4 linked regions of the Saccharomyces cerevisiae S288C genome follow. The gene in region 2 interacts genetically with the main gene of each other region. Each region holds a gene or a part of one and is shown on either strand. Other genes may lie near its edges. The genes, in order: FKS1, BNI4, SPA2 and CYK3.

What was found.
Region 1: mutations in BNI4 (region 2) and FKS1 are lethal when combined (synthetic lethality), as found in Saccharomyces cerevisiae (5 studies listed by BioGRID, with this or other methods).
Region 3: mutations in BNI4 (region 2) and SPA2 together harm fitness more than expected from each alone (negative genetic interaction), as found in Saccharomyces cerevisiae (5 studies listed by BioGRID, with this or other methods).
Region 4: mutations in BNI4 (region 2) and CYK3 together harm fitness more than expected from each alone (negative genetic interaction), as found in Saccharomyces cerevisiae (4 studies listed by BioGRID, with this or other methods).

Annotation. Positions count from the first base shown.
Region 1 is NC_001144.5:807,405-816,821, forward strand, and holds FKS1 (1,3-beta-D-glucan synthase), read left to right. Parts: upstream 1-2,592; coding exon 2,593-8,223; downstream 8,224-9,417. Other genes in the region: SPO77 (Spo77p), read left to right, coding at 1-1,414; YLR342W-A (uncharacterized protein), read left to right, coding at 8,406-8,579; GAS2 (1,3-beta-glucanosyltransferase), read left to right, coding at 8,690-9,417. UniProt on the Saccharomyces cerevisiae protein: Alternate catalytic subunit of the 1,3-beta-glucan synthase (GS) complex. Synthesizes 1,3-beta-glucan, a major structural component of the yeast cell wall. Involved in cell wall synthesis, maintenance and remodeling.
Region 2 is NC_001146.8:210,127-216,685, forward strand, and holds BNI4 (Bni4p), read left to right. Parts: upstream 1-1,795; coding exon 1,796-4,474; downstream 4,475-6,559. Other genes in the region: YNL234W (uncharacterized protein), read left to right, coding at 107-1,387; exosome non-catalytic core subunit CSL4, read left to right, coding at 4,797-5,675; PDR16 (phosphatidylinositol transporter), read right to left, coding at 5,861-6,559.
Region 3 is NC_001144.5:98,268-106,635, reverse strand, and holds SPA2 (Spa2p), read right to left. Parts: upstream 5,690-8,368; coding exon 1,289-5,689; downstream 1-1,288. Other genes in the region: serine/threonine protein kinase KNS1, read left to right, coding at 1-950; HIF1 (Hif1p), read left to right, coding at 6,435-7,592; nucleoporin POM33, read left to right, coding at 7,800-8,368. UniProt on the Saccharomyces cerevisiae protein: Involved in pheromone-induced morphogenesis and efficient mating, perhaps as a cytoskeletal protein.
Region 4 is NC_001136.10:245,505-252,236, forward strand, and holds CYK3 (Cyk3p), read left to right. Parts: upstream 1-3,076; coding exon 3,077-5,734; downstream 5,735-6,732. Other genes in the region: EXP1 (Exp1p), read right to left, coding at 1-78; YFH1 (ferroxidase), read left to right, coding at 419-943; HEM25 (Hem25p), read right to left, coding at 1,185-2,108; NUP84 (Nup84p), read left to right, coding at 6,062-6,732. UniProt on the Saccharomyces cerevisiae protein: Involved in cytokinesis by recruiting INN1 to the bud neck. Cooperates with INN1 to stimulate the synthesis of the primary septum (PS) by CHS2.

The sequences.
Region 1 (9,417 bases), on a different chromosome or scaffold from region 2:
TTCAAATTTTAACGTACAAAATAGCTTCTTTCTTCCTTTGGAATACGAATATACCGTAAAAGATAATGTACCTTCAAAAAAAAAGAGTAGTATAGGTTTTTTTCCATTAGATGATTCTTTATTCACATCAAAAAACAATTCAGGGCACCATAAAAGCGAACAGCTCCATCGCGGTAATGCAGAAACTATCAGAAGCCAGTTTGGAACTGACGCAGTTCCGATAAGGATCGATGAGAAAGAAGGAAAGTGGGATAGAATTCAAGATGATAATTCTTCTAATTTAAACTACCAAATTAACAACAGTAATGACCCAGCTTCGAGTGGTAAATATACCCAGAGTATTGACTGTAACCATATAGCGGAGTCAAAATTTTCAAAAAAAAATGGAAACATTGATAGTCTTCGTTCAAACTCAGCAACTTTTATGCTAAATACTGCAGATGAAGACGTGATAGAATTTAGTTTTGACGATAATGTCCCTTATGCTGAGTTATTATCTGGTGCCACCCTTGAAAAATGTTCGTTGACTCTAAATGAAATAAACAAAAAACTATTCAATACGCTCTATGACTTTCGAGTAAGCAAAGATAATCCCGAAGAAAATTTGGTAGAACTAATACTTCCGAACTGCGTGGTGTTATTAAACTTTTTTGAAGACATTGAACTCTTGGCCGACTCTTCTGATGAGGCTTTCGAAAAATCTACTTTCATTAACACAATTGAGTTCATTGTGCACGATATTTGGGTCGAAACGTTGATAAAGAACATAAACTTATTACAAATGTTTGATGCAGATTTGAAATGCTACAATGACAAGTACATAATTTGCAAGCTAAAGGGTCAGTATCCCTCCACAAATATAGTGGACATAATGTGCCGTTTGAAGCATTTTTCCAATTCTATTTTGGAAACTTTCAAATTCGGAATCGAGCTAAAAGAACAAGATCAATGCCACAATAGAAACACTATTATCAACTACGTTCTTTTCAGTAGAGTATTTTCAACGATTGTTTTAGAGATTCAAAAATGCTTTATCTTGATCGTTAAGTTCATGTATTCTGTCAATTTTTTAGAAAAATTTTCCGATGAAGTATTTTTGTCATTTATTGAAATTCTCATAAAAATTGTCTTTGAGCACCAGATTCCGCAGTTATTTTTGGGAATTGATGAAATTATTCAACTCTGGTTAAAGAACAATGAAGGAAAACGGCAACAACTCTTGAGCGCTTGGTGCAACGGAACTGTTCAAGATATGAAGCAAAGCCAACAAAGAGAGTCCTCAAACGCAGAATCTGAATCAATCACTTCAAGTACAGAAGAGGACGAAGAAGGCCTCCAATTCAATAAATGGGATGTGATTGAACCATTTATTGATAATATCAAGGCTTTGAATCAATCAAAATCCCATATGTGACGCAGCGATAAAACCGCGGCATGCAAACATCTACACAATTAGCAAGGGCAATCCATATTTTGTCTTTTCGCGCCCTGGAAAGGCCTAAGTAATGTCGTAAACGCATTCTATCTGTACTTCAACTCTCCTCTGTGCATTGGTTTGTGCAAATCACATTTTACGATACTGCCAGATTTATGCAAAAAGAGAAAACCAAGGGACCAGAACAAAGCAAAATTACGATAAACTTCGAATTCCTTCGTGCTTGACTAAGACAAAGGGATGGACGTAGCGATTTTTAGCGGGCCAAGAACTGGTTCCGAAAAAGCACAGGTACACCGAACCCTCAGCTAAGGAGGGACAGCACCGATGCGGAAGGACAAACTTTCTTTTTGCCTATCACAGTATCTTATCGAGCTAACTATTTTCGACACACATGAAAAAGCAGAAATATTAACGAAAAAGAAAAGAAAGACCATGTCATGTACGGGCAATCAGAATCTGTAACAAGCGCCATTTTTTTTTCTGTATCGGGCCCTCCTTACTGCTCTCCTTCCGTGTAACGCGTTATGAAACTCTAATCCTACTATCGGCGACTCTCTCGAAATTTTTCTTAACGCGTCCTTGTACTGCGTCTAACGCTTTTGCCACTTGGATTTCTATTATAGGAAATAGTCTCACTTACTGGGCGACGAATTTTCGCGTTTTGATGAAGCACAGGAAGAATTTCTTTTTTTTTTGGCTTCTTCTGGTTCCGTTTTTTACGCGCACAAATCTAAAAAAAGAAATAATTATAACCTAGTCTCGAAAATTTTCATCGATCCATTCGTTCCTTTTTTTCGATTTTTTCAGATCAAAATTCTTGTTTCTTTCTTTGTCTTAGTTTATATTAAAAGATATTTTGATTTTACTCCTGAACTATTTATTCTTTCTAAGAAGGCCAGAACACTACAGCTGTTTTAACCGACTACGAAGTTCTCCATTCTCGAACACTAGCCTTCATTTACCAAACAGGAACTAGCGTATATCATTAGTCCTTATTCGAAAAGAGATTGGTAGATATTTATTGTAGTTTGTGAGAAGGAGAAAATACTGTCATTGGACTGATAGTTAGAGGACATTAACCTCTCTTACGTTCGCTCAAAAAAATTAAAATAAGCAAGTAGCTGAAATCAAGTCTTTCATACAACGGTCAGACCATGAACACTGATCAACAACCTTATCAGGGCCAAACGGACTATACCCAGGGACCAGGTAACGGGCAAAGTCAGGAACAAGACTATGACCAATATGGCCAGCCTTTGTATCCTTCACAAGCTGATGGTTACTACGATCCAAATGTCGCTGCTGGTACTGAAGCTGATATGTATGGTCAACAACCACCAAACGAGTCTTACGACCAAGACTACACAAACGGTGAATACTATGGTCAACCGCCAAATATGGCTGCTCAAGACGGTGAAAACTTCTCGGATTTTAGCAGTTACGGCCCTCCTGGAACACCTGGATATGATAGCTATGGTGGTCAGTATACCGCTTCTCAAATGAGTTATGGAGAACCAAATTCGTCGGGTACCTCGACTCCAATTTACGGTAATTATGACCCAAATGCTATCGCTATGGCTTTGCCAAATGAACCTTATCCCGCTTGGACTGCTGACTCTCAATCTCCCGTTTCGATCGAGCAAATCGAAGATATCTTTATTGATTTGACCAACAGACTCGGGTTCCAAAGAGACTCCATGAGAAATATGTTTGATCATTTTATGGTTCTCTTGGACTCTAGGTCCTCGAGAATGTCTCCTGATCAAGCTTTACTATCTTTACATGCCGACTACATTGGTGGCGATACTGCTAACTATAAAAAATGGTATTTTGCTGCTCAGTTAGATATGGATGATGAAATTGGTTTTAGAAATATGAGTCTTGGAAAACTCTCAAGGAAGGCAAGAAAAGCTAAGAAGAAAAACAAGAAAGCAATGGAAGAGGCCAATCCCGAAGACACTGAAGAAACTTTAAACAAAATTGAAGGCGACAACTCCCTAGAGGCTGCTGATTTTAGATGGAAGGCCAAGATGAACCAGTTGTCTCCCCTGGAAAGAGTTCGTCATATCGCCTTATATCTGTTATGTTGGGGTGAAGCTAATCAAGTCAGATTCACTGCTGAATGTTTATGTTTTATCTACAAGTGTGCTCTTGACTACTTGGATTCCCCTCTTTGCCAACAACGCCAAGAACCTATGCCAGAAGGTGATTTCTTGAATAGAGTCATTACGCCAATTTATCATTTCATCAGAAATCAAGTTTATGAAATTGTTGATGGTCGTTTTGTCAAGCGTGAAAGAGATCATAACAAAATTGTCGGTTATGATGATTTAAACCAATTGTTCTGGTATCCAGAAGGTATTGCAAAGATTGTTCTTGAAGATGGAACAAAATTGATAGAACTCCCATTGGAAGAACGTTATTTAAGATTAGGCGATGTCGTCTGGGATGATGTATTCTTCAAAACATATAAAGAGACCCGTACTTGGTTACATTTGGTCACCAACTTCAACCGTATTTGGGTTATGCATATCTCCATTTTTTGGATGTACTTTGCATATAATTCACCAACATTTTACACTCATAACTATCAACAATTGGTCGACAACCAACCTTTGGCTGCTTACAAGTGGGCATCTTGCGCATTAGGTGGTACTGTCGCAAGTTTGATTCAAATTGTCGCTACTTTGTGTGAATGGTCATTCGTTCCAAGAAAATGGGCTGGTGCTCAACATCTATCTCGTAGATTCTGGTTTTTATGCATCATCTTTGGTATTAATTTGGGTCCTATTATTTTTGTTTTTGCTTACGACAAAGATACAGTCTACTCCACTGCTGCACACGTTGTTGCTGCTGTTATGTTCTTTGTTGCGGTTGCTACCATCATATTCTTCTCCATTATGCCATTGGGGGGGTTGTTTACGTCATATATGAAAAAATCTACAAGGCGTTATGTTGCATCTCAAACATTCACTGCTGCATTTGCCCCTCTACATGGGTTAGATAGATGGATGTCCTATTTAGTTTGGGTTACTGTTTTTGCTGCCAAATATTCAGAATCGTACTACTTTTTAGTTTTATCTTTGAGAGATCCAATTAGAATTTTGTCCACCACTGCAATGAGGTGTACAGGTGAATACTGGTGGGGTGCGGTACTTTGTAAAGTGCAACCCAAGATTGTCTTAGGTTTGGTTATCGCTACCGACTTCATTCTTTTCTTCTTGGATACCTACTTATGGTACATTATTGTGAATACCATTTTCTCTGTTGGGAAATCTTTCTATTTAGGTATTTCTATCTTAACACCATGGAGAAATATCTTCACAAGATTGCCAAAAAGAATATACTCCAAGATTTTGGCTACTACTGATATGGAAATTAAATACAAACCAAAGGTTTTGATTTCTCAAGTATGGAATGCCATCATTATTTCAATGTACAGAGAACATCTCTTAGCCATCGACCATGTACAAAAATTACTATATCATCAAGTTCCATCTGAAATCGAAGGTAAAAGAACTTTGAGAGCTCCTACCTTCTTTGTTTCTCAAGATGACAATAATTTTGAGACTGAATTTTTCCCTAGGGATTCAGAGGCTGAGCGTCGTATTTCTTTCTTTGCTCAATCTTTGTCTACTCCAATTCCCGAACCACTTCCAGTTGATAACATGCCAACGTTCACAGTATTGACTCCTCACTACGCGGAAAGAATTCTGCTGTCATTAAGAGAAATTATTCGTGAAGATGACCAATTTTCTAGAGTTACTCTTTTAGAATATCTAAAACAATTACATCCCGTTGAATGGGAATGTTTTGTTAAGGATACTAAGATTTTGGCTGAAGAAACCGCTGCCTATGAAGGAAATGAAAATGAAGCTGAAAAGGAAGATGCTTTGAAATCTCAAATCGATGATTTGCCATTTTATTGTATTGGTTTTAAATCTGCTGCTCCAGAATATACACTTCGTACGAGAATTTGGGCTTCTTTGAGGTCGCAGACTCTATATCGTACCATTTCAGGGTTCATGAATTATTCAAGAGCTATCAAATTACTGTATCGTGTGGAAAATCCTGAAATTGTTCAAATGTTTGGTGGTAATGCTGAAGGCTTAGAAAGAGAGCTAGAAAAGATGGCAAGAAGAAAGTTTAAATTTTTGGTCTCTATGCAGAGATTGGCTAAATTCAAACCACATGAACTGGAAAATGCTGAGTTTTTGTTGAGAGCTTACCCAGACTTACAAATTGCCTACTTGGATGAAGAGCCACCTTTGACTGAAGGTGAGGAGCCAAGAATCTATTCCGCTTTGATTGATGGACATTGTGAAATTCTAGATAATGGTCGTAGACGTCCCAAGTTTAGAGTTCAATTATCTGGTAACCCAATTCTTGGTGACGGTAAATCTGATAACCAAAACCATGCTTTGATTTTTTACAGAGGTGAATACATTCAATTAATTGATGCCAACCAAGATAACTACTTGGAAGAATGTCTGAAGATTAGATCTGTATTGGCTGAATTTGAGGAATTGAACGTTGAACAAGTTAATCCATATGCTCCCGGTTTAAGGTATGAGGAGCAAACAACTAATCATCCTGTTGCTATTGTTGGTGCCAGAGAATACATTTTCTCTGAAAACTCTGGTGTGCTGGGTGATGTGGCCGCTGGTAAAGAACAAACTTTTGGTACATTATTTGCGCGTACTTTATCTCAAATTGGTGGTAAATTGCATTATGGTCATCCGGATTTCATTAATGCTACGTTTATGACCACTAGAGGTGGTGTTTCCAAAGCACAAAAGGGTTTGCATTTAAACGAAGATATTTATGCTGGTATGAATGCTATGCTTCGTGGTGGTCGTATCAAGCATTGTGAGTATTATCAATGTGGTAAAGGTAGAGATTTGGGTTTCGGTACAATTCTAAATTTCACTACTAAGATTGGTGCTGGTATGGGTGAACAAATGTTATCTCGTGAATATTATTATCTGGGTACCCAATTACCAGTGGACCGTTTCCTAACATTCTATTATGCCCATCCTGGTTTCCATTTGAACAACTTGTTCATTCAATTATCTTTGCAAATGTTTATGTTGACTTTGGTGAATTTATCTTCCTTGGCCCATGAATCTATTATGTGTATTTACGATAGGAACAAACCAAAAACAGATGTTTTGGTTCCAATTGGGTGTTACAACTTCCAACCTGCGGTTGATTGGGTGAGACGTTATACATTGTCTATTTTCATTGTTTTCTGGATTGCCTTCGTTCCTATTGTTGTTCAAGAACTAATTGAACGTGGTCTATGGAAAGCCACCCAAAGATTTTTCTGCCACCTATTATCATTATCCCCTATGTTCGAAGTGTTTGCGGGCCAAATCTACTCTTCTGCGTTATTAAGTGATTTAGCAATTGGTGGTGCTCGTTATATATCCACCGGTCGTGGTTTTGCAACTTCTCGTATACCATTTTCAATTTTGTATTCAAGATTTGCAGGATCTGCTATCTACATGGGTGCAAGATCAATGTTAATGTTGCTGTTCGGTACTGTCGCACATTGGCAAGCTCCACTACTGTGGTTTTGGGCCTCTCTATCTTCATTAATTTTTGCGCCTTTCGTTTTCAATCCACATCAGTTTGCTTGGGAAGATTTCTTTTTGGATTACAGGGATTATATCAGATGGTTATCAAGAGGTAATAATCAATATCATAGAAACTCGTGGATTGGTTACGTGAGGATGTCTAGGGCACGTATTACTGGGTTTAAACGTAAACTGGTTGGCGATGAATCTGAGAAAGCTGCTGGTGACGCAAGCAGGGCTCATAGAACCAATTTGATCATGGCTGAAATCATACCCTGTGCAATTTATGCAGCTGGTTGTTTTATTGCCTTCACGTTTATTAATGCTCAAACCGGTGTCAAGACTACTGATGATGATAGGGTGAATTCTGTTTTACGTATCATCATTTGTACCTTGGCGCCAATCGCCGTTAACCTCGGTGTTCTATTCTTCTGTATGGGTATGTCATGCTGCTCTGGTCCCTTATTTGGTATGTGTTGTAAGAAGACAGGTTCTGTAATGGCTGGAATTGCCCACGGTGTTGCTGTTATTGTCCACATTGCCTTTTTCATTGTCATGTGGGTTTTGGAGAGCTTCAACTTTGTTAGAATGTTAATCGGAGTCGTTACTTGTATCCAATGTCAAAGACTCATTTTTCATTGCATGACAGCGTTAATGTTGACTCGTGAATTTAAAAACGATCATGCCAATACAGCCTTCTGGACTGGTAAGTGGTATGGTAAAGGTATGGGTTACATGGCTTGGACCCAGCCAAGTAGAGAATTAACCGCCAAGGTAATTGAGCTTTCAGAATTTGCAGCTGATTTTGTTCTAGGTCATGTGATTTTAATCTGTCAACTGCCACTCATTATAATCCCAAAAATAGATAAATTCCACTCGATTATGCTATTCTGGCTAAAGCCCTCTCGTCAAATTCGTCCCCCAATTTACTCTCTGAAGCAAACTCGTTTGCGTAAGCGTATGGTCAAGAAGTACTGCTCTTTGTACTTTTTAGTATTGGCTATTTTTGCAGGATGCATTATTGGTCCTGCTGTAGCCTCTGCTAAGATCCACAAACACATTGGAGATTCATTGGATGGCGTTGTTCACAATCTATTCCAACCAATAAATACAACCAATAATGACACTGGTTCCCAAATGTCAACTTATCAAAGTCACTACTATACTCATACGCCATCATTAAAGACCTGGTCAACTATAAAATAATACAATCAATACTTGCTTGAACGCTTGATTTTACTGATATTCTATCCAAAAGCAAGTAGACCAGAAACTCTCAAGATGTTGCAAATACCGTTCGATGTTTTTGGTTTAGATTGTTTTAATGTTGATGCTTTTTTACTTATTTTTGGAAGCGTCTTTTTAATTTAGTTTTATATTATAGGTATATGAATGTGTTTATGCCAATAAGGGTTTTTTTGTACAGTTATGTGATTATAAACAGTCTTTTGTCTAGTTTTTTTCACCAGTATCGGCCTCTATTTATAAAAAACGGAGCAGCTTTCGGTGTCAGTAATTCTGAAAAAATTTGTGTCACTCTGATTGTAAATGAATTAATTTAGCTAGATAGTTGCGAGCCCCAACGAGAAGATTGTCAGACAAAGACAACATTCAACAACCTACATCCGTTACTATTCGTTAACTCGAGGTACTTGAAACTTTTCAGTTAAGTATGAACAAGAAACAAAATTTTTACGCAGCCATTATTGTGGCTATTTTTCTTTGTTTGCAATTGTCTCATGGCTCTTCAGGTGTCAGCTTTGAAAAAACCCCTGCTATTAAAATTGTAGGAAACAAATTCTTTGACTCTGAGAGTGGGGAACAGTTCTTCATCAAGGGCATTGCTTACCAATTGCAGAGAAGTGAAGAGGAGCTTAGCAATGCAAATGGGGCTTTTGAGACAAGTTATATTGATGCCTTAGCGGACCCAAAAATATGCTTAAGAGATATTCCATTTTTGAAAATGCTAGGAGTGAACACACTGCGTGTTTATGCAATAGATCCGACAAAATCACATGATATATGTATGGAAGCTCTATCTGCCGAAGGAATGTACGTCCTATTAGATCTTTCAGAGCCTGATATTTCAATAAATAGAGAAAATCCATCTTGGGATGTACATATTTTTGAAAGGTACAAATCTGTAATTGATGCAATGTCATCCTTTCCAAATTTGTTGGGGTATTTTGCAGGGAATGAAGTGACAAATGACCATACAAATACCTTTGCATCACCCTTCGTGAAGGCCGCAATCCGAGATGCCAAGGAGTATATTTCGCATTCTAATCATAGAAAAATCCCTGTCGGCTATTCAACTAATGACGATGCTATGACAAGAGACAATTTAGCAAGGTACTTCGTTTGCGGAGACGTTAAAGCTGATTTCTATGGGATAAATAT
Region 2 (6,559 bases):
AAATAGCAATCGTTATGCAACCATTTTATATGAGTCTGCCCCTCAAGGGACTCGCCACCGGACCGCTGCAGTTGTTTGCATTCATCCACATATAAGCTGGTTGTGTATGACAGGAGAAAAAATACTTCATTCGCAGTTGTTAACCAACAGCGACATGTCTAGCGGGAATGTCCACCATACGAAACCGATGATGTACAACGTAACCCTGCCTTCCTACAACAGCAGTAGTATAGGTCCAGTCGATAATTTGAAAATAAACGAGAGACCTGGCTCTCATGATCATTCCATGAGAAGTGAAATGTCATCCAAAAACTCCGGAAGCGATTTTATGCCACAATCTATTTCACGTTCCGAAGGTAGTGTCTACCAGGTCAAGATAGATCGTGGTGACTCCCCGAATACAGAAGGATTCGACTTTAAAGTTAATGCAAGAGATCTGCTGTTACTTCGAATGTCCTGGGATATCCTCCTCAGGGAGTATTTAACACCTAAAGAATTAAAAGTTTTTCAAGCACTTCTGTATTCCAATAAACATATTACTTCAACAGAAAGACCCTATTTGAATACTGCTCCTGACGGTATGATTTCCAAAACTATTGACCCTACTGCCAGGCCACGTAAAACAAAACAAAGGGACAATGATAACAAGGTTGATACTGCACTATTTTGTTCACAGTTTTATGACAATTTGATTGCAATGGATCCCTTGTTAGAAGAATATTTTCCATCATTAAAACATCAAGCAGTTTCGTTCTGTAAGGTCCTTGATTCTGCTATTGACAACCTTGAAAACGTTCATGTCCTAGATGATTATATTGTGAAATTAGGAAAACGCCATTCCAGAATTCTCGGCATCAAAACCGTTGGTTTCGAAGTAATGGGAAAAGCATTTATGACTACATTGCAGGACAGGTTTGGATCTTTTCTCACACTGGAACTCAAAAATCTATGGGGACAACTTTACTCATATTTGGCAAATTGTATGATTACTGCAGGGAAGGACCCAATGGAAAAGATTCAACCAGATTTTTCGTATAATGGTGACTCTGTGGTTTTAAATTTTTCCATTCCCAAACTTGCGATGCATGATATAAGTACAGTTAACAAGCTACAAATGGTGAAAACTAAAAACGCTACTATACCTCATAATATAACACAAGTACCGACAAATAAAATTCCTACAGAAATACTCTTAGACAATTCTTCTACTCCAATAAAAAGCGACCGTGAATCGACGCCTCCAATCTCACCAAAGGGCTCTGGAAGTACAAAACCAAGCATCGGTAGCAGTACCGTCGTGGAAAGTAATACCAAGAAAAATAATTATGATGAAAAAATCCATTTATTGCAAAAAACTGCTCAGCAGAAGAACTGCTCGATTATGTAACTACAACCGTACCATTAAGTGTATAAGTTTCCCAGGTTATATTATATATTCTTTAGATCACTGCCTGTTCTTTATTACCCGCGAGCTAATCTTTGTCTTATATAGGCGCGTCAGCGGAGACGCGTCAAGTCAACTTCTCTCTTCTATCGTCCCGAGTATGAAAAATCATTTCAGATTCGAAGAAATCAGATTGGCTTTATATCTTCTTTAGAACAAGACGTGTAATATTCTCACACTTAGAGTTGACCCCCTCAAGTTCGCTTATTAGTACAGGTTTTGACTTTGCAAATAAACAACAGGAAAAGCGACTCAAATAAATTGACAAAGAAATCTCAACAACCAGAGTGCAAAAGCCGTACGAGCAGCGTTTTTATTAATAACGATATATCACTACGTATTCAACAGAATATGTCGGATAGTATTTCAGATTCAAAGTCCTCAGAACTTTTAAATTCTACTTTTTATTCGTCGACGTCGATAAATACACTTGATCATGCTAGAACCTTTCGAAATTCTCTGATATTGAAGGAGATATCAGATCAAAGTCTAAATTCATCAATAAAGCCATGCGAATCCGTCCTTGATAGGGATGTTGAAAGCTCAGTTCTGCAGCGGTCGTTTGGAGAAAGTAATGCCCGAGACTCAGAAGTACAAACGGTAAATATGACAACTTCCCCCTCATTAAGTGCATTGGCTGATATTCTGAACGAAAGATCCAAATATGCTGACCAAAAAACTAGAAAGGCACAAAATATTGAGTCTTCCATAATAGAAGAAGAAGAAGAGGCCGAAGAGCAAAACAACTCGATCAATTATCACGAGGATATAACTGGATCCAGGCTGTCTGTACGAGAGGAAGCAAATGAAAACTTGGCGATGACCTCTCCAAACCTTATTGACATTGACGGATCCAATAGTATTCAAGTTGCCCCTTTGAGTTTACCGTCTTTCGAAGAACCTGACTTTTTGTCCACTCCTAGAGTAAAACCTGATTCTCAGGGACCTCGGAGCAAAGTTAGTACACGACGTACTATTCTCGAACGAGACAACAATTTACCAGTTAAGCGGGAGGAAAATACTATCATTAATTCAGAAACTGAAAGCACAACACATAGCGCACCATTTTTAAAAGAGGATCCGAAACCCTCGCCTCCTTCGAGTAAATTATACAACCCAAAAGTTCGTTTAAACAAAGCAGAAGCGCGAAAGTATACTGATTCTTCTGCCCAAAGGACTACTTCAGCAGGCTCGGTACTTGAAGACACTTCTATGCATAAAAAGAAAAAGAGTATATTTTCATTTCTGAAGAAGAAAGAACCGAAACCAGTTATTGGTAATAATAGTGTAACGAATGAAAAAAATAAGATGTCTTCATCGAGCACTTTCTCAATGAATATTCAAACCTCTTTAAAAACGCCTGAAAAACTAAAGAAGAAGTCTCACAGTAGCAGTAGCATTTTCAATTCCTTCCTAAAGGGAAAAATTGAAACATCAGACTCACCTCGAAAGGAACCAATGAGGCAAAAAAAAAGAACCCCAAAATCCAAGGACAAAAAGCAAGATACTGAACAAATAATTGACGCCGCATCAGTGTTATCCACTGAATCACCTCTACTACGAAAAAACCACGACGATACTCCCGTGAAAATAGATCACGTAACGAGATCAATTGATCAGAGAAAACCTACTCCTTTAAACATGGATCTCATATTGGGAGGTGATAAACAGATAAATACCCCGCTACAAGAACACGTAAGAGAAGATGATGATGCCAAAAATGATCTTCAATTACCAACCAAGGATAATTTTTTATCACTGGACTACGAAGCACCCTCACCAGCATTTTCCAAACACGATACAGGTGAGGTTCTTTTCCCAAAATTTTTGGATAATCATGAAGTCGACTCGATCGTTTCTTTAGAAAGAACAAGATCTACAAAGTCTAACAAGAGAAGTTCAATGAACTCGCAAAGAAGGTCATTGACAGATACGCTATCGATCAAAGCGCAAAGTGAGGGAATGTTCATCACTGAGGCATCTTCTGTTGTATTATCTACTCCAGACTTGACGAAGTCTCCTGCTAGCAGCATTTTAAAGAATGGAAGGTTCGAATACTCAGATAATTTCTCCAGAGAACACTCTTACGAAGGTACCACGAATGAGGACTTTTTAGATATCAAGGACGATAGTGGTCCACTAAAAAAAGATGACATATTTTTAGAGTCTATTGAACAAAAATTTGACCAGCTAGTGATGGCCTCTGATGAAGAAAAAACTGAAGTTGAAAGGGATGTACCAAAACCAAGAGAAGAACCTCTGAAGAAGGATTCTGAAAGGCAAAGCGTTTTTGCAGATGATGATAACGAGTTAATTTCTGATATAATGGAGTTTGCAAGTTTTATTAACTTCGGTGATGATGATCTCAATCTAGACCTAGACTTGGGAGATACAACGGCCTCATATGCAACAGAAACCCCTGAACCTGTTGGAAATGATGAAGTAAATCGCTCTGGTACTTTTGATACACGAAATAACAAAGAGGATAGTTACAAAGAAAGAGAAACTCAATCTTATTCCGCTGCTGGAGCTACTACATACGGAGATGAGCGTCAAGGTCAATTACATACATTTGAACAAGACGGAAGTGAAATAAATGACAACGAATTTGAGAATGAAGATTTCAACAAACACATAGAACAGCCCATAGAAGTTACTCCAAGAAATAATGCATATTTACCAGAATTCGAACCCAATAGACCTGTTTCAATGTCCTTTAAAGGACTAAAAGCCCCAAGAATGAATACTTCTTTTATTGACTCCATGACGCCTGATTCTCCCGTAAAATCAGACTTAACAAGTCTAGGTGAGGTGTATGTAAACAGTAATAATGACCAGGGTGTCCGGTTTTCGTCCCAGATAATACTTTACGACACTTATGGAGAATTCGAATATGATAGACATCCAGAAATTTCCACTTGTAACCAGCTTACTCCACAACTGGCTCAAATGATCAAATTGGAATTAAATGAGTTAAAGAGCGCAATGGAAGTACACGATGATTCGCGATGTTACACACATTTTTATTAGAGCAGAAAACTGGGAGAAATGGAAATGAATCAAATCATACATATCAAGACATTCTAGTTTTTATAAACCTATAATTTATCGCAAGAATCTTGGGTGTTATGTGTTGTATTTGCGGCATCATTTCAAAATACCGTCTGCATTACCCGTCTCCGTCACGTGAAGTAAAAATTTCCAAAAAATATTGAAAAAAGAAAGAAAAATAAGATCCAGAATTCACTGATGATGAGCTTATGGTACGGCATGATTAACTACGCATTTGTATATTAAAGATTCTTTGATTTTTTCCAGAGCATTGAATACCTCAATCTATAAGTGTATTATAATGGCATGCAATTTTCAGTTTCCAGAAATAGCTTATCCAGGTAAACTAATATGCCCACAGTACGGTACGGAAAATAAAGATGGCGAAGATATAATTTTCAATTATGTGCCCGGTCCCGGAACTAAACTAATTCAATATGAACACAACGGACGAACTTTAGAAGCTATAACTGCTACACTAGTTGGGACAGTGAGGTGTGAGGAAGAAAAAAAAACTGATCAGGAAGAAGAGCGTGAAGGCACTGATCAATCTACAGAGGAAGAAAAATCAGTAGATGCATCACCTAATGATGTCACAAGAAGAACTGTAAAAAATATTCTGGTTTCAGTGCTTCCTGGGACAGAAAAGGGTCGTAAAACCAACAAATATGCTAATAATGATTTTGCCAATAACCTACCGAAGGAAGGTGATATTGTGCTGACCAGGGTGACAAGGCTTTCGTTGCAACGAGCCAATGTCGAAATTTTAGCTGTGGAAGATAAACCATCTCCAATTGATAGTGGCATCGGCAGTAATGGATCGGGAATAGTCGCTGCTGGTGGCGGTTCTGGAGCAGCTACGTTCTCTGTTTCTCAAGCATCATCAGATTTAGGTGAGACATTCAGAGGTATAATCAGGTCTCAGGATGTACGGTCTACAGACAGAGATCGTGTGAAAGTGATAGAATGTTTCAAGCCGGGAGATATTGTTAGGGCGCAAGTTTTATCATTAGGTGACGGAACCAACTACTATTTGACCACTGCAAGGAATGACCTTGGGGTCGTGTTCGCCAGAGCTGCTAATGGTGCTGGTGGATTGATGTATGCTACAGACTGGCAAATGATGACTTCACCGGTTACAGGCGCTACAGAAAAGCGCAAATGTGCCAAACCTTTTTGATATGTAACAGCTTATCTACAGTGCATATAGACGCGTATATATTTAAAAGAGGGTATTCGCTTCTTCTTCTTTAGATTGCATTCTTTGATGGTTAGGAAAAAGAAGCGGGAACGTGATTAAACTTTTTATTCTCTTTTATTTATTATATATTATAGTGCATTATCATTATCTATCTAAATTTGCCTTTACACGGTACTGCTTTCCGATTTTACTGGGTAAAGAAGTTTTTCATGAGTACCTCTTAAATCAACCTCACTTAAACCTACAATACCACCGAAGCTTTGAAACCTCTTAAAATAATGATCTCTTTTTTCACGCGCGGTTTCCACCAGAGCTGGCCAATAAACATCATGATTGTACTTGAATTTCAGATCACCACCATACAACGAATCTAGTTCGTTCTTAGGGACATATTTAACAAATGGTTCATCAAAAACTAGCTTTTCACGGGTCAGTGGGTCAATAAAAGGGTGAATTAACTTCAAGAAAGTCCATGCTAACCAAGGAATATTCGTCAAAAGTGCTTTTCCTAGTCTTTCTGGATAATGAGTTTGTAGAATATGCAGCACTTCTTTCCCTACACCAATAGGTGGGATTTTACTATTGCCAGGTACTTTAGGAACATCAGGGTAATCTTTAAAGTCTATTAGCAAAGCTAGAGAGTCTTGACCAGCTGGCATAAAATCGATAACTCTTTCCAACATGAAGACCAAGTGCTGTACCTGTCTGTGAGAAGTCTTTGTATTTTGTCTGCCCGGTTTCAAATATAAGATAGGTCTAGCATCGTTTTCGTAACCCAAAATCACCTGCTTACCTGATTCGTTCTCGACGGCCACCAAGTCAGCAGTTATTTTATCACCATGCTCTTCACCTAAATGACTAAT
Region 3 (8,368 bases), on a different chromosome or scaffold from region 2:
GACAGCTAATCAGATCTGTCTGCTTCTTGCACGATTTGGGCATAATACACACGGATTTGAAACCAGAAAATATCCTGATTTGTGACGAAACCCATATTGCTCAAAAATTGCCTTTGAAAACCGTACAGTCGCTAAGCAAGAGACGCCGTGAAGCCAGTAAGGGGAAGCGCAAAATCTTGAAAAATCCAGAAATCAAAATCATTGATTTCGGTAGCGCAATTTTCCATTACGAATATCATCCTCCTGTAATATCCACTCGTCACTATAGAGCCCCGGAAATTGTCCTTGGCTTGGGCTGGTCGTTCCCCTGCGACATTTGGTCCATCGCGTGTGTCCTAGTAGAACTGGTTATTGGCGAATCTCTTTACCCCATTCATGAAAATCTAGAACATATGGCTATGATGCAACGAATCAATGGAACCCCTTTCCCCACAGACATTATTGATAAGATGTTTTACAAATCTAAACATAAATTGGGCAACTCTCCATCAGACCTAAATTCAACGGTGATAAAGCATTTCGACAGAAAAACTTTAAGCTTACAATGGCCTGAAAAAAATAAACGCGGAGATACCATAACCACCGAAAAGTCAATGAAAAGGGTCTTGCAGTCATGTGATCGCTTAGATATTTACATCTCAAAGGTCTTGAAACAGGATTACGGCGATAGCTTAAGCATCAATTGGAATCTACCGCCGGAGAAAAACTGGTCTTTGATAAATTCGAAATTGGCATGGAAAAGACAAACACATTCCTCTTCTTCCTCAACTACTGATGAACTCGATAAGGAAACTTTCTTGTTTTGGTACTGGTTCATCGATCTACTCAGGAAAATGTTTGAGTTCGACCCAACAAAAAGGATTACCGCAAAGGACGCTCTGGACCATGAATGGTTTAATCTGGGCATACTGGATGATGGTATTGCAACTTATAATAATACCCAAGGATAGTGGGTGTTCTCGTTCTACTTTTCTCTTCTTTTTTTCACATCTTTTACTAGTTCCGTTTTTTTTTTTTTTAACTCTTCTTTTTCATTTTCCGGTTTTTAATAATATTTCTTTAAATTTCTATATTCAATAAAAATTCTTCCTACATATATATCTTCATATTCAAACATTTATAGTATTTTTACTAATTTTTTGTTGTTTTAATATACTATAATAATATTATTATTACTGCTACTACTATTATTATTATTATTATAATTATTATTATTATATGTCATACATAATACATTCTATTGATTGTCTTTGTCTTCCTTTTCTTTCTCCTCTAGATACTACTAACTTTACTTCAACTTCGAATTCAAATAATTTATTTCGTCCTTCAAACTTGCCTCTTCTACAGTTTTTACCAGCTCCTTTGTACATTTGGCAACATCAAACGCAATCCCTGCCAACCGCTGTTTGAAGTTTTTGTCAGCATAATCTTGATCGCTCTTTTCCTTCGCTAGTATTCCATCGCCAGTTAATTGGCACAAAATTGTCATTCTACGCGAACAGTCTCTTAGACTTTGCACCACCCAATCACCGTGTTTCTTCAAATTGGCATTTCTGCTTTGCTCCATTGATATGCTAGTAGCGTCCACCATTTGACCTATGACTTGGTTGATTGCATTCGATTCTCCCCTCAAATTACCCTTCGTCACCTGTGGTTTCTTGATCGATGTCAAAAGCGATTGAATCGTGGATATGACGTCCATTGTTTGATGTTCTAAATACAATAGTAACTCTGATAGTGTATTATCCGGATTTTCAATGTCAAATGTATCCACATCAAAATCACTGTCTTCTTCCTCTTCATCGTCATCTTCACTTTCCTCTTCCTCACTTCTGTTTTGTTCTTGTTCTTGTTCTTCATGTTTCATGGGAACAAATTGATAGCTAGAATCATCATCATCACTATAATGTTTCTCGTCATGTGCCGTAGTTTCTCCAGTATTTTTTATCTTTATGTGGTTGTTAATGCCGCCGTTCGACTCTGAGTTCTCGTATTGAACCGGTTTACTGTTTAAAAATGGTGAGTGGCTCGTCTTTTTTACCTGTGAATTTTCAGTTGGATTTACGAAAGCATGCTTTCTTTCAGTGATGTGTATTTGGGCATCAGCTCTTTTTCCATTAACATTATTTGATTCATCAATATCTTCCTCGGAAGTATGCACTTCTGCTTCGCTTTTTGCTTTACGATCAACAGGTATTTTATGATAATCAATTTTTCCAGTTTTCGTATATGCACCAGTGATCTGGATATTGTGGTTCACTCTATCAAAATCTTCGTCCTCCTCCTCTCGTTTGATCGTACGGTTTAAGTCGGCGTCTCTCCAAGAAGTATTGGCATCCTTGTTTGTTGGTTCCACAGAAGTGATAGTCTCAGTATGTGGTTTATTAGTTTCTCGTAACTCGACATTTTTCTTTATCGGTGCTAGAGGTGAATTTTTTGCCAATTCAGGAGAAACAATTTGGCTATTCGGTTCTGGGAGCCCGCTCTTTTTCAGTGTAGCTGAAGATGGAGTCTTTTCGACTGATTTTGGTGATCCAGTTCTATTAACAGCCTTTGGAAAGACAATCTTTTTTAGTACTTTTGGGGGGTCAACATTCTCTATCGGCTCTGAGGAGGCAATGTCTCTCCTTATTTCTTGAGGTTCAGACACAGTATTTCCCTTTAAATTTGGGGATTCCATTTTCACTGTCATGTTTGAGGGGATAGTATTGCCTACTGCCTCCAAGGACTCGCTTTCCCTTACCATTCTTGGAGATTCAATTTTGTCAACTTCTCCTGATGACGCCAACTTCCTAGCCGCTTCCGGGGACTTGATTGATTCTTGAGCTGTAATTTTTCCTGTCATACCCAAAGACTTAATCTGCTCTTTCATGCCCGGAGATTCGACCCTACTATCTGCTTCTGGGCCTACAACTTTTCCTGCCATATTCAAAGATTTAATCTGTCCTGTCATGCCCGGAGATTCGACCCTACTATCTGATTCTGGGCCTACAGCCTTTCCTGTCATACCCAAAGACTTGACCTTCTGCGTCATATCCGGAGATTCGACATTACCAAGTGGTTCTTGAAAATTTTTCTTCCTGACTGATTCTACAGATGCGCCCTTCTCTGGCATTTCTGAAGGCTCAACATCCTCTACTAATCTCTTAGGCAGCGAACTACTTGGCATTTCTGAAGACATTTCAGATGACGTGATTTCCTTTATCGATTCAGGAGATTCAATCTTCACGGACTCCGGTGACTCATGTAAATCAAGTTCCACTATATTTGCAGGTAGTTTGCTGTCATTATTTTTTTCAATTTTTGAACCTTCTCTCTTCATTGTTTGTTTCAATGCCATATAGGTAAAATCATCATCATCGTCTGCATCGTCATTTTCGTTACCATCAGAGCTTGAATCATCTGTGGACACATCATTCATTGAAGTGATAAATTTATTGGATAGTTTTGGTTTTGAATCCATTTCTTCTTTTGCTATAGGATTTTCCTTTGGTGATGATTTCTTTTCGGAACTTTGCTCAAATTGTTTCAGTTTATCAGCAATGCTAGAAGTTGGTTTAACAGAGATTTCATTTGTTATGTCACTCCTTTTATTATCCTCTTCTGTATTCTCGATTTTAATATTGGGAACTTGATTCTCTGACGGTGGAATAACAGTACCGATTTTGGCTTGTGGAGGTAGTGTTAGTTTAGGAATTTCGGAAATATTGCTACTTGCAGAATTGGAGGCCGATGTTACTGCCTTTATGGGCGAGACATATTTATCATTATCCTCTTTATGGGAGCTATTCTTAGCAATTGATGAATCAATCATTAAACTAAATAGCCCCGTTCCTGAAGGTTTTCTTGAGGTTGTTGGAACTCCATTAGACGATGACGGTCTTATGATCGGACTGTTAATTGCCTTTTGTGTAATTTTCAATGGCTTGACTGGAGATTCTTCTTCCTCCACATCATTCAAGAAAGATGCTGGTTTTCTTGGGTTTATAAACCCCTTCTTCATATTTATTCCAGAAGTCGAGGGGAAAGTTGGCGTCATTGGGGTGGTAGCAGTTGGTGAAGAATATTCTAATACCTGTCGGTTACCTTCATTAGAGGTGGTGCTCTCACCATTTGAATCGGATTTTATTTTCGCTGAATCAATTAGATTACACATGGCAAAACAAACCTCTGAAACAGCAGCTTGCACAGTTATTTTCGGAATTAATACGGGACCGTAAACAGAGAAATATCTTATCGATGTGATCGCATGCGATAATGATGCCTTCAGTAAAATGACCTGATCTTTGTACTGTAATAGGTCGGCCGATAGTAATAGCTGGGAGATTAGGTTCGATAACTGGGATAATATTTGAAATAACTCTTCGCCAATTTGATGGGAAATTGCCGTGGAGTCGCCTATGGGTACTGCGGAAAGCCTAGTAGTAAATTGAATTATCAAGTTGTTAGCGTTTAAGATGTATTGAGCTGGAATGAGCCCATCGGCAGAAGAGTACTTGCTAATAAAACCGTCAGTGATTTTCAAATCATTATGGTTGTCATTCTTTTTTTGATGCAGTTCGAATTCTGAAATTTTCTGCTTCAAATTTTCATTCTCAATTGATAATTCACCGATTTGAGAGTTTAATGACAGCAATTCTTTCTGAAAACTTTCATCAATGGTGTAGTTAATCTTTAAGTTCTTTTCCTTTTCTTTTTCCTCCTTCTCTTCCTTCTTCTCCTTTTCCTTCTCGCTGGTTAAAGATGCTAACTTAGCATTCAAATCTTCAATTTGCAAATGTAAGTCGCTGTTTAAATCAGTCAGTTCTTTAACCTTGTCTTCCATCTCTGAGTTAGGGTTATTGTTCTCAGCCCGTTGTACTTCAGGGCTCTTCAACTGTTCGGGACCCTTTTCGTTATCGATATCTTTATCTACCTTGATAATTGGAGAATCATTAACGTCCCAGTAATTTTTATGCGTCGTTGTTGGAGTCCTTGCCATTGATGTGATATCACGAGCGAGCACTTGGGAGTCAGGCAGATCAGAATCTGTAACTATGGGGTTTAGAGCAGGTTTAGCCTCTTTCTTTTCATCCATGCTTGTTTGTTTTCCCTCCGGTTCATTTGGCTTCTCCTTTACTTGCTCCTCTTCTTCTTCCTCAGAAGACCAATCGATAGATGCCATCTTAGGAATGACCAAAGAAGGTTGTACGGAGACGTTTGGAGCTACTTGAGTCACAGAGGAAGAATTTGTGGATGTTCTTGCAGTATCATCGCTGTCTTTGCTGACCTCTTGTTTCATCGGCTGCGGTAATGGGGGCCGTGGAGCATCCAAATCCTTGTCGAACCCTCTTCTCTTGATCTCAAAAAGGATATCGTCCAACAAATCATTAAATCGAGTTTGTGATAGATTGGCCAGTTTCTGTCTAGCCTGGTTCCTTTTCATGTGGAAATTTGCCTTCGGCAAAAGGTAATCTGGTTGGTTAGCATCTTCACCGATTCTCCTCTGCAGCTCATCGGACACGTCTGTACTCAGCTCGTAAAATTGCGAAGAAGATAGCTTCAACAGCTTGGCTCTGGCCTTTTGAGCTCGTGTCGAATTTGACCTGTCACGATTTTCGCCAGTCACCTCGAAAAAAGTCTTCAGTGAGACGTAGTAATGGAAGATATCTCTATGATGTGCGAGAGAAACCTCGCTTGACGTACCCATGTTTACTCTTTCTTTTCTTTTGTTTATTCTGTTTCGGTGGCTCGTATTGCGTTATTCCTCACGCCTTGATTTGAATCTTCGTCTCACGTGGTTTCTCAGCGTCTTTCACACGCTTCTGACCAAATTTATCTTACCGAACTATACGTAGCTATGTGTTGCTTTCTGCTGAAAGAACTCGATAATAGAATATTATTCTCAAAATACTTCAAAGTTTATTCTCATCGTTTCCAAAAACGCGTCACGCATCACCCGGCGCAGTATTTCTTCTTCCTTTTCCGCCATAAAAAGTCATAATAATAAGCCTATCTCAAGATTCTTATACTACTTTTAACAGTTTTATTGATAACTTACTTACGTTAGACCATCTTTTTTGTGCAAACCTTTGGTAAAAAAAAAGAACTGCGCTACCTTCTCCTAGTTTATGTATGGTACGGCAACTCATAGTTAGTTTTCTGTGCCCGTTTTAAGCACGACTTGAACTTACGTGATTATATGTATACAGTGCATGTTTTTATATAGAAAAATAAAAAAATGGGGTTACGTAGTCGAAGGATATAGCAGTGTCTAAAAACTTGCAAGAGCACTCGTAGCTCCCCGGCAGTGGAATCTTACCACTTCTCAGAGAATGTCGGAACGATATGTTACTGCACTGAAGTTTCGCGTTTTTTCCAATTTTGTATTATTTCATTCTACTCAATTTTGAGGTAACATCGGCGATGAGGTCTCCTTCTAGAAGTAACAGAATATGAAACTAAGGGCAGAAGACGTGTTGGCAAACGGAACTAGCAGACATAAAGTTCAAATTGATATGGAAAGACAGGTTCAAATTGCAAAAGATTTACTCGCACAGAAAAAGTTCTTAGAAGCTGCTAAACGCTGCCAACAAACTTTGGACTCTCTCCCAAAAGATGGTTTGTTGCCTGATCCTGAACTGTTTACTATATTCGCACAAGCTGTATACAACATGGAAGTACAGAATTCTGGTAATCTGTTTGGGGACGCTCTTCTGGCAGGTGACGATGGATCTGGGTCTGAGTCTGAGTCTGAGCCTGAGTCTGATGTGAGCAATGGAGAAGAGGGGAACGAGAACGGTCAAACAGAAATTCCTAATTCTAGGATGTTCCAATTCGACCAAGAAGAGGAAGACTTGACTGGTGATGTCGACAGTGGTGATAGTGAGGACAGTGGCGAAGGTAGCGAAGAAGAGGAAGAAAACGTGGAGAAAGAGGAAGAACGCTTAGCTTTGCACGAATTGGCTAACTTCAGTCCAGCGAATGAACATGACGATGAAATTGAAGACGTATCGCAACTTCGCAAGTCTGGTTTCCACATTTACTTTGAAAATGATCTGTATGAGAATGCTTTGGACCTACTGGCGCAGGCCTTGATGCTGTTGGGCCGCCCTACAGCAGATGGCCAATCTCTAACCGAGAACAGCAGATTGCGCATCGGTGATGTGTATATCCTGATGGGTGACATCGAAAGGGAGGCGGAGATGTTCAGTAGAGCCATTCATCATTACTTGAAGGCGCTTGGCTATTACAAGACCTTGAAACCCGCAGAACAAGTAACTGAGAAGGTGATACAAGCAGAATTTTTGGTGTGTGATGCTTTAAGGTGGGTTGATCAGGTGCCGGCTAAGGACAAACTAAAAAGATTCAAGCATGCCAAGGCTCTGCTTGAAAAACACATGACTACAAGACCCAAGGACAGCGAGTTACAGCAGGCAAGGCTCGCACAGATTCAAGACGATATTGATGAGGTGCAAGAAAATCAGCAGCACGGCTCCAAGAGGCCTCTTTCGCAGCCCACGACCTCCATCGGCTTCCCCGCCCTCGAAAAGCCCCTTGGTGACTTCAATGATCTCTCTCAACTGGTCAAGAAGAAGCCTAGAAGGCATTGATAGTTTTGTGTAAAATGTAGCAACCTACATACGTAATGTATATTTCTCCTTCTTTGGTACGGCGAAAGGGCCCCATTTTAAAAGGGTGAAAAAATATTTAAAGAGCAAGCAGACCATCCCTGAAATGACATACTTACTACATCTAAAAAAAGTCATTTTTCTCTATTCATAAGGAGCAAGAAACACTAGCCAAGAATAGTCAGTATAATGTCATCAAGACCCGCTAATAACCAAGGCCCCCCAAACCTCCCTGCCAGAGATAAGTCGCTCGTGCAAAGGTTCATGGCAGTAGCCAAGAGCTTGCAGTTTGCATGGTTTACCGGTCATTCCGTCGTATTGATCAGCTCCATTCTTTACCTGCTCAAGATGTCAGAATTTTATTACAGATCGGCATATCTCGGTGTCATCGAATCTTTCGGTATCATCATTTACCAGCAATTTTTCACCCGCAATGAACCATTGCAGACTCAAGATGCCGCTGCCACTAAGGCTTCCATAAAATCACGCGTTGCTGGACTCCTAAAGAGTGAAGACGTGCTTTATTTGGTTTTGGCCAACTTCTGGTTGTTCACTCCAAGATTTTCATTCAGCTTAATCCCATTTTTCGCGTTTGCTGTATTCCATGTTTTAATCTACGTTGAAAAAGTTCTCTTACCAAAAGTCTTCCACCTTTCCAGTAAAGATTCAAGTAAGATCCTCAGCTTCATCGACAAGTTTGTTGTTCAGTACAATGACTTGTGCATGCACTGGGTCGGTACTGCTGAGCTGCTTATTTT
Region 4 (6,732 bases), on a different chromosome or scaffold from region 2:
GATGCCAGAAAACAATGGCAACAATGCAATGAAAGCAATCACAATAATGAGAAGTAAAAAATAACCGTATAGATTCATGCTCCGGACTTATTGACTTAGGCACCGAGAACTTTAAGGGAATTCGTCCTTTTCTTTTACTAAACGTAGATCATGGGTGCTTGATTTAGAGATACAACTCATCGCACTTGACAAATTTCAAAAAACCGTATTCAGTGATCATATTTGAAAAGTCACGTTTCTTACAATGTCCACATAGCCCTATAGGATATGAGGGATTAGTAACCGTAAATGATCTCTTTGAATCGCATTTTTAATTGAAAGCAACCTCGCTTGAAGACACTTACAAATCGTTACGTACTACTGAATACCAGAAAGATAGTATTTCAAAAAAAACTAAGCGAGAAGATAGAGTGTAGCAATGATTAAGCGGTCTCTCGCAAGTTTAGTTCGAGTCAGCTCTGTAATGGGCAGAAGATATATGATAGCAGCGGCAGGAGGAGAACGTGCCAGATTTTGTCCAGCTGTAACAAATAAAAAGAATCATACTGTAAATACTTTTCAGAAGAGATTTGTAGAATCCTCGACAGATGGTCAAGTTGTGCCTCAAGAAGTGTTAAACTTACCGCTTGAAAAATACCATGAAGAGGCAGATGACTACCTAGACCATTTACTAGATAGCTTAGAAGAACTGAGTGAGGCTCATCCGGATTGTATACCTGATGTAGAGCTAAGCCATGGCGTAATGACATTGGAAATTCCAGCTTTTGGAACGTATGTAATAAACAAACAGCCTCCAAATAAGCAAATTTGGTTGGCATCACCATTGTCCGGGCCTAACAGATTTGACCTTCTCAATGGGGAGTGGGTTTCGTTAAGAAATGGCACAAAGCTAACAGATATACTTACTGAAGAAGTTGAGAAGGCCATTTCTAAAAGCCAATAAGTGCACTTATCCATCGACTCTCTTATATTTATTTAAACACTTGTAACGCATCCAATCTATTTCATAGTTAGAGTCTCTCTTCCTTGTTATTGATATGATTTTTCTTTTGTACCGTGTGTGTATGTATGTATGTATGAACGTACTACTAAGCTTCAACGTCACTCTATAAAGAAACTAAAAAGACACGTATTTATACCTTTTTTGAAGAATGCGAGATTGCAATGAAATATGTGTCTATTTTTTACATGAATCTTTTGACCAACTCCTCATATATACCCCACGCAATACCTGCACTGAAGGCCTTTCTTGCCAGCCTCATGCTTAACCCGCTAAATAACTTCAGCACATTTTCATTTTTAACTATAGATGTAAATGTATTGAAGGAGTTGGTAAATTTTGATGGTTCCAATTGCATTCTCGTTTTTATGGTGTCGAACGGTGCCGTTACTGTGGTGGCTAAACTGGCGGATAGTACGGCGCTTGTTGTATTTACTGTTGTAGAGGTATAAGTAGTAAATCCTCCCTCAGGATTGTAATGTATAAACCTAGAAGGTAATACCATGGGCAGTAATTGTTTCGATTTTTCATATAGCAGCACATACAAACCTGCATAGGGAGCGTCTCTTAAACAAGTAGCTCCAAACCCTCTGAAAAATCCAAAAAGTCCTTCCTTAGTATATATATGGGTAATTGCCTCCTTTAAACTGGAGTAATTGTACAGAGTAGACTCATAACGGACTTTAATGACGGTGATAGGCATGGTTATATAACCTACCAAACCTCTTGCAAATGCACCTGTTAGTAAATTTTCATACATCGTTAATCGTGGTAAGCTACTGCTCTTGTTATATACAATGTTTGAATCGTTTGTTAATGAAGGCACAGCATTCCTCCTCTTTGCCAAAGATGAGCGCATAAGGTTCAAACATGATAAATATAAGGCGCTGCCTATTGATGTTCGTAATGCTGAAGGTAATGTACCTCTCCATAGCTGTAGAGGGCTGTCTATCTCTTTCAAATTTTTCCATAATGTAGCTTTCTTGTCTTGCTGGATTCTCGTCTTCAAAAGGTCTAAAGGTTGCAACGCAACAGCAGATGTTAGCCCACCGAAAAAGCCCCCGATCAAATGCGATGAATTTCTTGGCTTAGTTGCTTGCTCAGTCATGTATGCTGCTTCACAAATTGTGTACCTTCTAGTTGTTCCCGCTGTGCTATTTGCTTTTCTTTTGGTATAAGCTTATCCTTTTACTTCAATCACCCCCTCGTGAGAATTTAATGTGGAAGCAATATACTACTACACCGTTGACTTGGAGATTTTCAAGCTCAATTTTGCGTTCACTCAAATCTAAGTCATTTGAAACAAACACAACTTCTAAATATAGCAAGAGAAATAGGTCAATAACGCAGACACATATTTAACATTTAAGATACTGATAGATATTCAAAAGGAAACAGTCACCACAAGCGTTGGAGATTCAGCAAAACCCAAAAAGCAAGAAATTACAAAATCATTGTCTCGCTGATGAAACACCATCCTTTAGTGTTTGTATCCATTCAGCGTACCCTCTTGTTCTTGAGACTGGTGAATTTCGTAACTAGTTGAATATTGCAGGGTTTTCTTTTTCTAAATATGTATTAATGGTGGTGCCTGTCAGGGCGCGATAGAAGTGAAAAATTCTCGAATGGCTGGTTTGGTGGCCATTGAGCTGATCTGAAAAGGATGGTGAGATCAAGCTTGATATCTTGCATGCTTGGACCAACTATTTAAAATAAGTATTGAAAAAGGAGAATTTAGTTTCATTTACTCTCTACAATTGGATATTATACAGTTAAAACAAGAGAAAAGGCCAAAATTAACGGGACTCTGTTTGCATAACATATCTATAATATCAGTTTGATCTACTGCTGTTAAACTAATTTTTCTTTCTTCTGATTTCACTTCGTCCTTAATATTTTAACACATTAACTGTTTGCTATAAGCATACATTGCTTTTACCACTTTTTTTAATAATATCTTTTTATCCGTATTAATTACCGCATATAATTTTAGTTCGAAACATTAAAGGTCAGTCCCGAAGTTATAATTATAACATTTAATTCCTGAATTTACCGTATTACATTTAAATTTGCATAATGGCCACTAACTTAACATCTTTGAAGCCACCATTTAAGGTGAAGGCCAGGTATGGTTGGTCGGGCCAAACTAAAGGCGACTTAGGCTTTCTGGAGGGAGATATTATGGAAGTCACAAGGATTGCCGGTTCTTGGTTCTACGGCAAGTTATTGAGAAACAAAAAATGTTCTGGGTATTTTCCTCATAACTTCGTCATACTATTAGAGGAGAGATTAAATTCGAGCACTGAAAATGGTAGGCAACCTTCAAAAATAGTAGAAAGTTTTGAAAAATCAAATAAAGTTGTTATTCCACCAGTACCATCAAGGTATTCTGACGAGAGGCCAAGGCCTAAAAAGAAGCTATCTTCATCAATGCCCAATTCACCCAAGAAGCCGGTAGATTCTTTGACAAAGGCTAGAAAGGCAAAATCAAAAGAAATGGTAAATGAAAAAAATATCTATAATACCCAATCCTCTCGACATCATAATAACTCAGCTCCAAATTTACCTTTGGCTAGCCATAGTAAGCCTCAAGTACGAAATTTCGAGGAGTCCATGAACAATCCGTTACCACCTCTACCGCCACTACCAGATTTGGACAATATGAGAAAGACAGATAAAAGGGCACCAAAGAAATCATATTCTGCAAACGATTTACATATGGCACGTTCTTCAAGAGAATATAACTATTACAAAGACAACCAGAAATTCTATGATGGGTTTATCCCAGAAAAGAGATATTCTTTAGAAGAGGACTCTATTTCATCAGGCCTGTTTTCAAACTCTCAGTACTTAAATGATTCTGCTTGTAGTAGTGAGAACAGTTTTGCCTTAATGAGTGATTTTAGTGCCACGAGCGCGGGAAGTTTCGCCAGACATAAATATGCACAATCGTTTTCCGATTCATTGCAAAGATCACAGAATGCAAATGGCTGCTCTACAAAGATAAATGATTCACAGGAGTTTGGTGATTCCAATGCTAGTTCGAGAAATGGAAAAATGGGTGATATCCTTAGGAAAATAATTATTCCAAAGAGGAATACAAATATTTACTCCAGTTCAGTATCCTCACCAAAGTCACCAAAAGCATATCCTAAACTACCAGATATTCAGAATTTAAACTTGTCTGCAACACCCGATGAAGCTCGCGATTGGATTGCGGTAAAATGTCACTTGAACAGAGCAAGGACTCTTACCAAATATGACAAACATCCGAGGTATATGAGAGCTCTCGAAGAAAATCGCGACTTGATCTTACATCCTCAAGATTCGATTTATAACGGGCTAAATACCAATGAAGTCAAAGGTAATACAAAGCCCGGTTTGGTCGATGTGGAACTGGCCGAATTAAACATAGAATACATTGATAAGATGACTTGGAAACGGTGTATTAGAGACGGAACTATGACATTAGACAGTTGGGCTCAAACAACTTTTTCAGCAAGATACTCAACTGTTCTGGAAAAGTTAAGAGGCATATACATTTTTTGCACAGAGATGTTTGCTCTGACTGATGATAATGGAACGTCAGATTTTTCTGCGGAACCCCAAAATTTAGAGAAAATACTATACAGAAAGCATTGTACGCCATATGAATTGACATGGCTTTTCAAGAAATTAGCAAACTCATTGGGAATCACTTGTGAAATTGTTATAGGTTTCCTGAAAACACCGAGTGCTATAAATTGGGAGTTTAAGTATAACCACTGCTGGTTGAGAATACTGGTTAACAAAGAATGGAGATTTATTGACGTTATTTTAGGAAATGTAACCAACCCAATTCATGAATTTGTAAATAACAGAAAGATCAAGAAAGCAGAAAATAGCTACTTTTTGATGGCACCATTAGAAATGATATACACACATATACCGCCTAGGGAATTTGAGCAGCATATTGTTCCTAGTATCGATCAATTATCTGCATTGTATCTGCCATTAGTTTTTCCATCTTTTTTCAAAAATGAGTTAAAGTTATACAAATTTAGTACTGCACTATCATTTTTGGAAGATTCTGAGATCTACGAATGCTCCTTAGAAATTCCCAATGACGTTGAAGTCTTTGCATCCGTGGTTATTCCAACGGATAATGAAGAAGCTTCATCTGCGTACAGGAATATGGAACTCGCACTGACCCAAATCAAAAAGCAGAAAGCCGAGTCTGGTAGAAGAATTGCTCTAATCAAAGCAGTCCTACCACCCAATGTGAACAAAGGTTCACTGTACATACATTCAGGTGTAAGAGGTACGCAAACGAGTATTGCCAATATCCATCCACTGTCCATGATGGTCCCATTAACACATAAGGGAAGTAACATGAAATACGAATTTGTGATCAAGATACCCTCAGAAAGCATTCAGAAGATTGAGCTATACATTGTCGAGCCACAGAGTAGATATCTATTTGTTGGTAATGAGTACTCATTCGAAGTTATTCAAAGTCCCTCCGATGGTATTGTATACAGCAGTGATGAAGGGCCGAACCAAAATAGGAAACAACCAATGGCAATAAAATCACCCTCAGGAAGAGTTCATGAGCTAGTCAAGAGCGATCCCCACTTTCCTTATGGTACCTGGAAAGGAAGCATTAAAATCAAAGAGCCCGGCGTCTGGAGCGCTTTAGTGATCGCTGACTCTGGTATTGGGTGGTCCGTTTTTGCTGAATGGTTGTGCGTATAAACGTTTTTCACAAATTTTTTTACAGCGCTATAATCTGTATCATTCAACATACATTCTACTCAGGAAGGTGAATTTCATAACTCATATATGGCTATATAGTACTTATTATTTAATGATTTATCCATTGCATTCATAAAAGCTATGCTGGTCCAACTTTTTCGTATTTAGTGATGTTTTCGGTGAAGAAAATATGAAAAATTAGACCAAATGCTCAAATACATACGACATTTGAATTGTTTAGGCAAGTCCGAAAACGAGGTATATCAGCTAATTCAACCTGAAAACCAATTGAGTGCTACTTCGAAGTAAAATACATAGCCATTTCAAATGGAATTATCCCCTACTTATCAAACAGAACGCTTCACAAAGTTCTCAGACACTTTAAAGGAATTCAAAATTGAACAAAATAATGAGCAAAACCCCATTGACCCGTTTAACATCATAAGAGAGTTTCGCTCAGCCGCGGGGCAGCTTGCGTTAGATTTGGCTAATTCTGGAGATGAAAGTAACGTCATATCTTCTAAGGATTGGGAACTGGAAGCTAGATTTTGGCATTTAGTAGAACTGTTACTGGTTTTCAGGAACGCTGATCTTGATCTAGATGAAATGGAACTTCATCCTTATAACTCGAGGGGTTTATTTGAAAAGAAATTAATGCAAGACAACAAACAACTTTATCAAATATGGATAGTGATGGTTTGGCTCAAAGAAAATACATATGTGATGGAAAGACCCAAAAATGTACCAACTTCAAAATGGTTAAATAGTATTACTTCTGGAGGATTGAAAAGCTGTGACTTGGATTTTCCTTTACGAGAAAACACTAATGTCCTCGATGTTAAAGATAAAGAAGAAGATCATATTTTCTTCAAATACATTTACGAACTAATTTTGGCCGGTGCGATTGATGAAGCATTAGAAGAAGCTAAACTTTCCGACAATATTTCAATTTGTATGATCCTGTGTGGGATACAAGAGTACTTAAACCCTGTCATTGA